2 linked regions of the Caenorhabditis elegans genome follow. The protein of the gene in region 1 purifies or fractionates together with the protein of each later gene. This does not show direct contact. Each region holds a gene or a part of one and is shown on either strand. Other genes may lie near its edges. The genes, in order: M28.9 and sup-46.

Region 1 (6,311 bases):
CGATGCACAAAGCCAGTGTAACAAAGACCAAAATGAACCCCAATTTCCAGAAGATTGTGGGTCCAGGTTGACCGGCTACTAAATCCGCAAAAACATCATTTAAAGTTACAGTTCCGTTTTCAAAGAGCCACTTGTTCAGATTCTAAAAAATATTGAAATTATCAAAAAATTTTCGATCTCTGACTTACCTCATACGATTTAGAATTTGGATTTGTGTGCACTCCGTCCGACATTCCTTTCGCTATTCCATAAAATCCAGTGGCACTTCCGAATTCTGGATGGATAGCCTTGATCTTCAGTGCTGGCTGACCGCATGTTTCTTGTGGTTGAAGTGTTTGAGCTGAGACGTTGAAAACGAAAATACCAATTATCATGAAGCAATGTTTCATTGTTATTCCACTCGTTGAATACAATATGGATTTGCAAAACGAAGAAATAAAGAAATAAGTTGATACTGATTCGTGGAAAAAACTAAGATTTACGTTGTATACAAGCTATAGCTTGTTGCTCATAAGGTCGTCTCTGTGTAACACGTGAAAATTTTAAAATTTCCAATTACTTTTTTATTGGAGAGCCAAGTTTTGGTTGGGATCCGACTGCGGGAGTTCCTCCGTCTAGTACGGTATAGATTGCTTGTAGAAAGGAAAATATATAGCTGTAGCAAGAGCATCTATTGAAAAAGCTTATGTGCCTACAAAAAGACAAAATCAGAGAAGTGAATCATTCATTCATATCGATCAATAATAAGGAAAAAGTTCTACGATTTTGGCTCAACGTCAAGCGTGTTCACGGCGCTTTTCTTTCCGTTTCCTGGGGCCATTGGAGAAGCACCTTCAGCTGCATCAGATTTACCCTCTACTGATGTCGGTTGAGACCCTGCTTCAGCTGATCCATTTCTTCCAATTTCACCTGGTGCAGCAGGATCTTGAGGATTCTTGTTAGCATCTCCATCAGCTTTTTCGGCAGAGCCTTCTCTGAAAAGTCGATTATAATAATCTGGCTAGTATGCAAGTTTACTCACTCTTCCTTGTCCTTCTTCGACTTCTTCTTTTTCTTTTTCTTGTCCTTGTTCTCGCTCTTCTCTTCTTTTTCTTTCGACTCCTTTGACTTTAACATCTGTAAAAAGCTATGTTTGAATTTCTAGATTATGCTCACTATAGTGATAGTTCTAGAGGTCTCATAAGTAAAACATTTTTAACGAAATACAGATGGAGTATTCACTTATAAGCTCCCAACTTTAAGTCTTAGAGCTGAATGAATAACGAACCTTATCACTTTTCCCAGCACTCTTCTTGCTATGAGTACTCAACCAACGGAAAGTGAGAAGCAATACAATAATCTGGAAGAACATTGCGACTCCACCCAAACCAATTGAAGCCCACAATCCATGAATTGGCAATCCAACTTGCTCACAAACCAGCACACCTGCATTATTGTAGATATCTACTAACGGACGGCACTTGAAAATATCATCTTGCAGAGCTTTCTGAAAATGAATTACTGATTAAGACAACTGTCAAGAAAAACCTACCAAAAGCTTGGTCACTGCCTGTTTCAAAACCGCTTCCTTTTTAGTGAAATAATTCTTGTTGAGATCCTTTACAATTGTAGACTGAAACATAAAAGTTTCCGAAAATCTAGAAAAAACCTAAACACACCGTCTTTGGTGCGTTTTCTGCCAGTTTTGCCAAGTTGTCTATAAACTGCTTGGAAAGTGCTTGAGATTTTTTGAGAGAAGCAGCATATTCCTTGAACTGTTTATTCAAATCAGCGTCTTTACACTTTGACAAATCCGCTGATTGTGCTTTTTTAGCGTTATCGTTCACAGCTTTCATATGGTTCTGTAATTTTTATTTCTAATTGGAAACTACCCCATCATGATGAATGTGTAATTTATGAATGAAAATACCTTATAATTCGTTGCTTGAGGAAGCTTAAAATCCGATTTTGGTTGCTCACTGATCTTCTTATCAGCCATGTCTCGGTACTTATTCAGGTTAATCTGTTTGTTCATAGCCTCCTCAGATATCAACTTTTTTCCATCAATCGCTTTGTACAAGGTCATGCTTGGATTGTTGCAAGACTCAAGTAACTGACTGGAAAAAGGATCTTTTCCACTCTTTTAGAAATTTGAAAAAATTATTGGTATCAACCCACTTTTTCAGTGACTTGGACAAAAAATCAACTGCCAAAACTGTATATTTAAATTTCTCACTCAATGTTGATGGATGTTTTAGTCTTATTGTCAGCTGCAGGCATCGGAACATTCATTTGACGGAACAAAGTGTAGTTATCATCTTCAAAAACTGGAACACATATCGATGACACCACTAATCCCAATGCAAATGCAAACATTGCAAATCCTAGAAGTGTAATGGAGCCAGTGATTGAGGAGAAAAAGCCATCGATGACAAATCTAGAGAGCTTCAGTGCCACACCTAAATATTAAAACTGATCCTTTTTACTGGTGTCCATCAATCTTACCGTCCTGTTTTATCAACGAAAGAATCACAGCGACAATTGCAACGATGCAATAGATACATCCCATGGCGGCCGGAATAATGATACCAAGACGAATTCCAAGCACCGTACTGAAGGAATTGTACTGAAATTATACAATTTTCTGTTTAAAAATTTATTCGTTTCTTCACTCACGCCAGCAATTTGCTCGTGATATTTAGGAATTGACTTCTTTATTTCTTCAACTTGGTGTTGAACCTGATCCAGAAATTCTACAATTGAATTCGTAGTGTCGTCGATTGATTTCTGAGCACTATCAATGACACTACCAGCACCTCTAGATTGAGATTTAATCTTAAATTAAAAATAACTTAGTTCTTGAATCACAAAATTACTACAAACCTCAGCTTTAATCACATCGACCATTTTGTTAACACTGTCCAATTCGCTCGACCCCATCACTGTGTCTGCAGCGGTTGATAGACCCTGAAGTTGAAATGGTGAAACTAGATTGGAAACAATTCCGTTTAAAAAATAAGGAAAAAGTCTTTCATAGCAGCTGTATTCAGTGATGGAACTGTTCAGAAAATGTAGCACTGCGGAAGGTAGTGTTTGCTGATATAAATTCCAGAAATCTTTGAATGTTTGTTGATATACTCGAAAGCATTTCAATAGTCTTGATCAAAATTCCCCAAAATCGAAGGAAACTCTCACTTTTAAGGCTATACCCATTGCTGAAACTCTAGCTTTCAACTCGTTGGCACTCGTTTTACATTCCGAAGAAGGATTATTAATATTAGCAAGTGCAGCGTTCAACTTCTCTCCCTTTTCAACGGTATCACTAGTACTCTTTACGAATGCATCAACATCGAACTGAAAAGTATTATAATGAAAAATCATATAGCTGACTCGAATCGTCTAACCTTGTTGACAGCAGTTAATCCAACTTGTGTCGCAGCTTTATCAGTCACATCTCTTTCATAGTTCCTTATAAACGATCGGATTTCAGCGAATGCTTGTGATGTTGAAGATTTCACTTCGCATGTCAACTGATTTTTTCCATTCGAAAAAACATTCGACATGTCTGAATAATTGAAAAATTAACGTGGAATGTGATACAAGTTTAAATGATCTGTCAGAAAGAATCTACTGATTTTCAAGCTCCACGAGGTCTTTTGAATGTATGTTACCTGAGGTGAGCTGATTGGCGTACTTCACTCCATTATCAACAGTATCGACAAAGTCAGTCTCCGCGAGATTGAAAATTATAACACCTGCTAGGGTGAACGCAAGAGTGGTAGCCAACAGAGCAAGGTATACCATTCCAGTGTATTCAGAGCGGACCGCCTAGAATTATTATGAATTGAAGATGCAAGTAAATTTGAAGTCCTTACAGATTCTCTGGGAGCACACGTAGAACAACACTGCCAAATGCAAGTTACGATGCAAAGTGCAGCTGCAATAATGATCAAAACGATTCCAACACTCCAGAAGACGATTGCAGTGACTTGGCTCAGAATCATACTTTTAAGGGTTTCCCCGTAGGATTCTTTTCCACTAATTAGGTTATTCAAATCCTGAAATAACATTATGATGATAGTGGCACAAGAAAGCCCCCCCTTACCTCATAAGACTTCGAATCTGGAGTTTTCTGCAGACTATCTGAAATTCCTTTGCCAGTTCCATAAAATCCGACAGATCCTGTTAGTTCAGGTTTCATCGGTTTAACTTCCACAGAAGACTTTGGACATTGAGCTGGTGCTGGTCCTGATGCTTGAGGCTTCGGACTTTTAGCACAAAAAGCAATCGAGATCAGGGCTATGAAGCCAACAAACAAACGAAGTTTCATTTTCCAATCAATCGCGATCTGGAATTTCATGAGATTTGTCGACTTGAAGCTGTACGTTTTTTTGACTGATTTATTTGTGCTCTGCCTTTCAGATGGTTCGGGTTTCAACCTATTTAGTGTCCTTTTATAATTCGGGAATCCAATTCATAAGCCATAGCTTGCAGTTTACAGTGCTTTGTAGTAATACAGTATTCTTAATTTAAAGGCAGCAAAGCATTACTGTGTGTAGATAGTACGGCGCTAAACCCGTATCTGAAAACCATCTGCAACAACCACTTACCTTCTGATGAAAATGCTGGGATAATGATAAGGAAACTTGTTCGAAGTCGAATAAGATCGATTAATGATTGAAAACTGTTGAATTCTTACATGTGATTTTTTTTCTCACGGGAACAAAAAAATCACACATTTCATGATTTCTGTTTATCACGTTAATTATTTTTCAAATCTTATTAAAATTAATTTCAAAAAAAAAGCATCGTTTATTCATACTGGACATTAAAATTCACCAGATCGGCTCGATGTCGAGTGTGCTCCCTTTTTTATTGTTTCCGGGAATCTTATCTGGCGTAACATCTTTATTAGGATCTCCATCGGATTCTTTCGATTTAGTTTTTTCGACGGATCCTCTGAAATAATAGCTATAATATTTTGAATTCGGGAGTGGCAATCACTTGTCAGTCGGATTTGCCTTATCTTTTTTCTTCTTTTTCTTTTTGTCTTTTTCTTTCGAGCCAGCCTTTTCCATTGAGCCTGATGTCCCCGTCTGTAAAGAATTAGTGTTTTGCTTTATAATTTTCAGAAATATTTTAACTGACGGGCGCGGTTCTGGCAAACCTAAAGTTAAGGTTTCAAAACAGATTCAGGAACTATTCAATAATTTAGCTTCATGGTGTTAAAGATTTGATTTCTCGTATTTTGGTTGTATTCGGGTTCAACCAATAAACAATATGGAGTGCAAGATTATTGAGCAGTCAAGCTATGTAGACTATCGCTATCAACATAAGAAAATATACAATAATCTATGGTATTTAGTGTTACAATTGAAACAGCTTCCGGTAATTGCCAAAATTTGAAAAAAAACGAACCTTATCACTTTTTCCATTCTTGCCAACAGTATTCTTGCTATGAGTTCTCAACCAACGAAAAGTAAGAAGCAATAAAATTATTTGGAAGAATAGCACAACACCACCCAAGCCAACCGATGCCCACATTCCATGAACTGGTAATCCAAATTGCTCGCAAACTGAAATCCCTGCATTATTGTAGACATCTACTAACGGGCGACACTTGAAAATATCATCTTGCAGGGCTTTCTGAAAATTATTTACTGATTAAATAAATTGCATAAATGAAATCATCAACCCACAAAAAGCTTGGTAACAGCCTGTTTCAAAATTGCTTCCGTTTTAGTGAAATAAGTTTTATTCAGATCTTTTGCAATCGATGGCTGAAACACAAGTGCTCATAAAGTTGAAACGCATTTGTACCCACCGTTTTCGGAGCATTTTCTGCCAGAGTCTCTAATTTTTTGACAAATTGCTGGGAAAGTAAGTGGGACATGGAAAGAGATTCCGAGTATGCAATAAACGTTTGATCTAAATTATTGTTGTCACAGATAGCCAGATTCGCAGATTTGGCTTGTTCAGCGTTATCATTCAAAAGTTTCTTCGCAATCTAAAAAACTAAAAAGTTTTTGATAGTGTAGGAATTTCGTTTTAAAGTAAATCATTATTTAAAATACCTCATAAGTATTGAATTTAGCAAAATTAGGCGATGGGTGCTCCTGTTGTTGTTGTGCAAATTCAAAAATCCTTGGTCCGTGTTTTATGGAGGGGTGGTTCCGTTTCCTCCGGGGTCGAAGGGGGTCGTGGAGAGGCCCAGGGCCTCGGCCACTTCCACCGGCTTCTCCCACAGGTCCTTTGGGAGCAGAGGGACCGAGGAGATGCAGGTCAAAAGGTGATTCACGCCACCCTCCACACTTCCACATTTCCTGCAAGGG
Region 2 (5,537 bases), on another chromosome or scaffold:
CTCTTTGAGGCGCACACCCGTTTGTATTTAACAAAAAATTGTCGTGACGAGACCAGGAACGGTATTTTTGGTGCCAAAATTTTTTATTGCCGGTTTTGAAATAAAAACAATTAATTTTTAAAAAAATTGATATAACAGTACTCGTTATAAAGCAGAATTCAGAATCCTTCTCCAAAAGCCTCAAGGTACCGTAATCCAGAGAAAGGCGTCAAAAATGAAAACATAGACAAACGAAAGAAAGTTGTGAGCATACAAATAGACACACACAATGCTCATCATCGTTTTCTCAGCAACAAAGGATTCTTCATGGGCGTGACTATCTTTTGCTCATGAAGGAGAGAGACGTCTTCAAAACGCAATTAAGGGCATACGGTAAAACGTTTGAGCAGCAGTTGTCGCGCGCAAATCAGATTGCGTGAAGCTCTTGTTTGATGCGGGACACACATGCTAAATTGTCTTCTGAATAGCACCTCAAATTGTGCGGCGCTCATCTGAAGACACACTTGTCACGTCATTTATTATTAAAACTTTTATTTGTCACCATCCTGCCAGAGGAAAATATGAGAAATAGTTTTAGAGTGATGAAAATGAGGAAGATGTTTTAAATTATTGAGATTCCGTTGACAAGGAAGCCTTTTTAAAGGGATAAGGAAGGATAGAGATGGAGAAAAAACGGATAAAATAAAGATAATAGATGATGATTCAAGAGAAACGTGAGAAGTTTCAAATACAAATATAACAGGGGGAATGAATTAGGCGTAGTCAACGCTGATCATGCGGCCTTCGACAGTGGATCCATAGAGGGCAGCACGAGCACGTTCAGCGTCTTGGAAAGTTGCAAAACGAATGCGAGCAGCTCCTGGCGCCATCATATCAACAGAGTCGACTTCTCCGAAGTTTCGAACACGGTCACGGACAATTTGCCAGGTATAATCGCTTGGAAGCTGAATAACAGATCATAAATGAGAACAAATTGAAATTTGAATTGAAAACTTACGTTGCGAATGATAATAACCCTTGTTGCCTGGGGTGTCGCAGCACCGGCGAGTCCACCAGCTCCATTGACACCAAAGACGTCAGGTTGAGCAAATGTGGCTCCACCAGCACCACCAACACCAGCATTTCCTCCAAATGGTCCATTGTTCATGACGGATCGGGCAAAGTTGGCTTGTTCAACGACTCCTCCAAAACCACCAGCCGAAACAACTTGTGGTCCACCTACGAATGGGGCAGCTGGAGCTGTGAACTGAAATATAGATAATTAAATTAACTTTTAAAAATTTTATAATTGAGTATTTGTTATCAAGAGTTTCATCGAACATTTTTTGTGCTTTTTTCAGAGAAAGTTCCGTTTGTTCTGAAAATCGAAAAACATGTTTAGCAAATTGGAATATAAAAACCCATTTTTGTATTAAGTTTTCAGATTGTTGATGGGGAAAAACATAAGAAAACATATCGTTTTCTTATAAAAGGCCATTTTTCGAAAAATCAAAATGTTGGAAACCCGAAAATTTCTGTTTAAAAAAAATTAATTTTTCGATTTAAAAAAATCTAAAACCACCATTGAATGCTAGTATATACCACACCGATGAAATTTGTTTTAAATCGCTTACCGGCACTGAAGCATCTCCTGGGAACATTCCATGAACATTGGAAAGTGGTGCTCCTTCTGCTCCAAGACCCATTCCGATTGACTCAAGACCTCGTGGAAGTCCACCTTCTTTGTGCTCCAGTTCCTTATCGAATCTATCCATTTTCACAACCAGATTTCGATCAAAAAGTCGCTGACCATTGAGCATCGAAACGGCTTGTACGGCTTCAATTGGGTGAGTGTATTGAATTACGCATACTCCCTGGAAGACACCATTTATATTTTATAGGAACTATAAATATTAACAAACCTTTGACTTTCCTTCTTTATCAATGCGGAAGTCCATCCAGGTGATTTTACCGGCCATACCGAAGACTTCGTAAAGCTTATCGGTTCCGACATTGAAAGCCAACTGAAAATGTTTGATTAATAATATTGTCTTGGAAACAGAAGTGGAATTTCGGAAATTCTATAAAATGACATATTTCGCCATGTTAAATATAGAAAATCACTTTTTTAAATCTGAAAATAACACTTATTTCAGATAAAACACTTGGAAAAGCGCTTCAAAAATACCAGGATGTTGCAAATTGCCGATCATCAAATTGTTGAATTATCGTTTCTCGGCAAATGGCAACTTTTGGTCATTTTCGCGCACTTTTCCAAATGTTTAAAACGAGATAATTTTTTTTTAATTTTCAGATAAATCAAGTGATTATCTACATTTTCAGACTAATTTTTGATGAAAACTTTTGAAAAAAACATGTCGCAATAGGTCATTTTGTAGCATTTCCGAAAATAATTGCCAACCACCTCTGATTGGGAACTAAGAATGGTATTTAGTAACTGAATTAGTGATGCTATATTTTATTCGTATGATACTGAGAGATCTACCCGGAGGATGCAACTGTCTGAACAAACTATAATAAGCACTGATTCCATTTTGTTGTATATAATTCCACGTAGAAAGCTTCCTACTACTATTCCGTTTAAAAACACCAAAATGAAAAATTGCATTTATTTCTCCCATTCGAATAATTTCATATCTCAAAACTGAGATAAAGACCCAGCAAGTGAACGTGGTCTAGATGTGGAGCCCTTCGAGAAGAAGAATATTTGAAACCTACATTGGCGATGAAGATGCGCTCACAGAGTGGCGGTTCAATGTTGTGTTGGCGAAGGAATTCCATATTGAGACCGAATAAATCATAAGTTCCAGTTCGAGTAGGGCGATCAAGATCTTTTGGTGGAGGACCTCGTCCTCCTGCACCACCACCTCCGGTACGAGACAAGTAATCAATGCCTGTTTCAGTTTTGATGGTTCGGAAGAAAGCATTCGGATCCTACAGAAAAAATAAAAAATGGATGAAAATTTCTGAATGTGAGTGTCAAAATTAAATAGATACGGACCCGAATTTCTTTGGCGATGATGGTTCTTCCCTTCCAGTCGAACTTTTGTAGATTCTCAACGCATTTTTCGGCACCCTCACGAGTTTCGAACTCAACCACAGCGTTACCCTTTGGCTTGCCGTTACGGTCTTCGAGCAACTCGCAGAAAGCGACTTCACCTCCTTTCTCGCGAACTAGACTTTTCAAATCGACCCAACGAGCCTCATAGGCGATATTGGTGATAAAAACCATTCGGTTGTTCGATGATGAGTTCCCATTGTTACTTCCAACAGCAGCGCCGATACGACCTTAAGGAAATGGAAAATAGAGAAGGATTTCTATGGAAAAAATGGTGGAAACGGGAATGAAGAATATCAAAAACTATACTTCTTCTTGGACTTCTGGATCGGCTCCGACGCTCTCGCTTAACATCACGCTGTGGTCCGTCTCGACGATTTCTGTTCATGTTGGCTGATGGAACACGGATCTTGGATTAAGCTTTCTGAATGAGTTGAACTAGAATCAATTAGACGATAAGCAAATGTTTTCATATAACAACGGGCTTCTTTAAAAAACAATTGAAATTTTATTTCCATTTTGATTGCTAACAAGTCGAAAATTAATTGTAACTAAAATAATCTGCTCGCTGAGTGGCCCATTTTTATTGTTGAAAGAGATAAAAGATTATTTACTGAACTGTCTCGCCAATGTAATACTTGATTTGACATCGAATTGAAAAACTATGTTACAACAATGATCGAAAACTTATGCACAGATGAGTAAAAAGTTTTGTGATCGCACCTTATTTGCTTCTTTACTTACAAATAGGCCACTCGAGCAAAATTTGACTTGATATCTTACAGAAAGACTAGAATGCTCTAAACTCTCTTAAAATTCCCGAACCGAAAATTAAGTTTTCAAAAAGAGGAACAATTTCGAAATTTATCTATCGGAGCAATTCTCTGAAACATCTTGGAGATTTTCCGACTGATAATGCATATTTAAGCCGCGAGAACCATTTAGCAAATTTTAAAACAAAAAAACGTTTGATTTAACGAAGAAAATAAAGAAAAATAAATACGATAAAAGAGAGAAAAATCGAAATTCGAAAAGAAGAGACGGCGGCAAACACAAGTGTGCATTTGTGCGTCGAGACGAGCCGCACAGCCGACATCAGATTTGACGCCACAAATCGCCGCGAAAAGTGAAGGCTTTTTCTTTGCTGCTAAGCCAGTATTCTGGATCTTTTACGATTTTTTTTTCATTTTCGATAGCATGGTTCTGTGAAACAAGATCTCTGTTCTCTTTGAAACACTCTATTCTATAATTTATTTTATTCTTCAATTGTTTCTTCCATGTTTCCCTAAAAATAATTTTGTTCGTTAATTGTCAATAGGATTTTTATGAACTGAATTCAGTGTCAAATTTCGGAGAAAGAATAGAAAACGTTTTTTGTGAGATAAGCTGCCTCTCGTTTTGTTTTGCCTCCGCATGACAGATTTATTCTCAATTTCACACTAAAAATTATTAATAATTGTACAATTTAGTTTTGCTTCAAGTTCTATAACAACGCGTTTTTGTTTTTTTTTCACAATTCATGCGCTAGCTGTCCAAAAATATTCAAAATGTTTATAGAATAGGTGATTCAACACCAACATTTCAAACTATCGTTCACAAGTCACATTCCAAATGACTAACGTCCATATAAAGTTTCTGATATTGCTCCAATCGTCCCAAATGTCTTATCATATACACTTCATGACGTGTTTTCCCTATTCTTTCTCTTTTCCCGCCGATGACCATGTCTCTCCCTTCTATTCCTCTAGGTTTCACCATACGAATATCAAATCGTATATACATTTAAAAGCCGACGCCTTCTACCATGTCGAACAGTAATCGCATGGAACTAGTTAGTCTTTTCCCAATCGCCGTCATTTCCCTCACTTTTATTCCTTACACTAGATTTTATTATTGATAGAACTGAAATCTTGGTCTTATGTTAACGACAAAAATCGTGCCTCGTTTCATTTTAAATGCAAAACTACCTGCCGTTTATTGCCGCCGTCAAGAGAACAATTCGCACTAGGTTGAGAAGGGCAAAGGTCTTTTATGACCTTTTACGCCCGGGAAGTGAGAAATACCAGAAATCACCTTTTATTTCGATCTATAACTCGAACTTTTAATTTTTCATCTTTAACCAGTGTAGGTTTATTTATTGAATAGATTTGTGTTCCACTCATCTCTTCGGTCAACAGATTTGTTTTCCCCCTGTTTCAAATTTAGCGTGAAGTTTCTACAACAAGACATCGAAATTCCAATTTTATTTCAGTCATATGATTATATATGTTTATGAAAATAGACCTAGTGCCCTGATTGAGAAGACTATATGTTTGTTTTGCTATTGTTTCTATTGTATTTTGCTCGGAAACGTTCTAGATGTCTACAAAGTACAACTATAGTGACTGTAGTTTCGGTTTGCAAAAAAAGAAGATCAAAGCAAACAAGATTTGTCGAAGTGGTCGTTTTGTCCACTGGTCCTAGTTAATTTAAACAAGGC

What was found.
Region 2: the proteins of M28.9 (region 1) and sup-46 fractionate together in Caenorhabditis elegans (co-fractionation; one large-scale study listed by BioGRID). This does not show direct contact.

Annotation. Positions count from the first base shown.
Region 1 is NC_003280.10:10,637,781-10,644,091, reverse strand, and holds M28.9 (Prominin-like protein), read right to left. Parts: upstream 4,683-6,311; 5' UTR 4,590-4,682; intron 4,328-4,589; 5' UTR 4,310-4,327; coding exon 4,085-4,309; intron 4,038-4,084; coding exon 3,855-4,037; intron 3,808-3,854; coding exon 3,651-3,807; intron 3,545-3,650; coding exon 3,384-3,544; intron 3,334-3,383; coding exon 3,175-3,333; intron 2,947-3,174; coding exon 2,863-2,946; intron 2,815-2,862; coding exon 2,656-2,814; intron 2,606-2,655; coding exon 2,485-2,605; intron 2,439-2,484; coding exon 2,216-2,438; intron 2,097-2,215; coding exon 1,910-2,096; intron 1,842-1,909; coding exon 1,659-1,841; intron 1,613-1,658; coding exon 1,532-1,612; intron 1,487-1,531; coding exon 1,268-1,486; intron 1,117-1,267; coding exon 1,022-1,116; intron 975-1,021; coding exon 758-974; 3' UTR 713-757; downstream 1-712. Other genes in the region: M28.4 (Protein tweety homolog), read right to left, coding at 1-142, 189-389.
Region 2 is NC_003279.8:10,169,122-10,174,658, forward strand, and holds sup-46 (RRM domain-containing protein), read right to left. Parts: upstream 3,483-5,537; 5' UTR 3,447-3,482; coding exon 3,368-3,446; intron 3,289-3,367; coding exon 3,002-3,288; intron 2,935-3,001; coding exon 2,719-2,934; intron 2,004-2,718; coding exon 1,902-2,003; intron 1,854-1,901; coding exon 1,614-1,853; intron 1,247-1,613; coding exon 998-1,246; intron 945-997; coding exon 753-944; 3' UTR 518-752; downstream 1-517.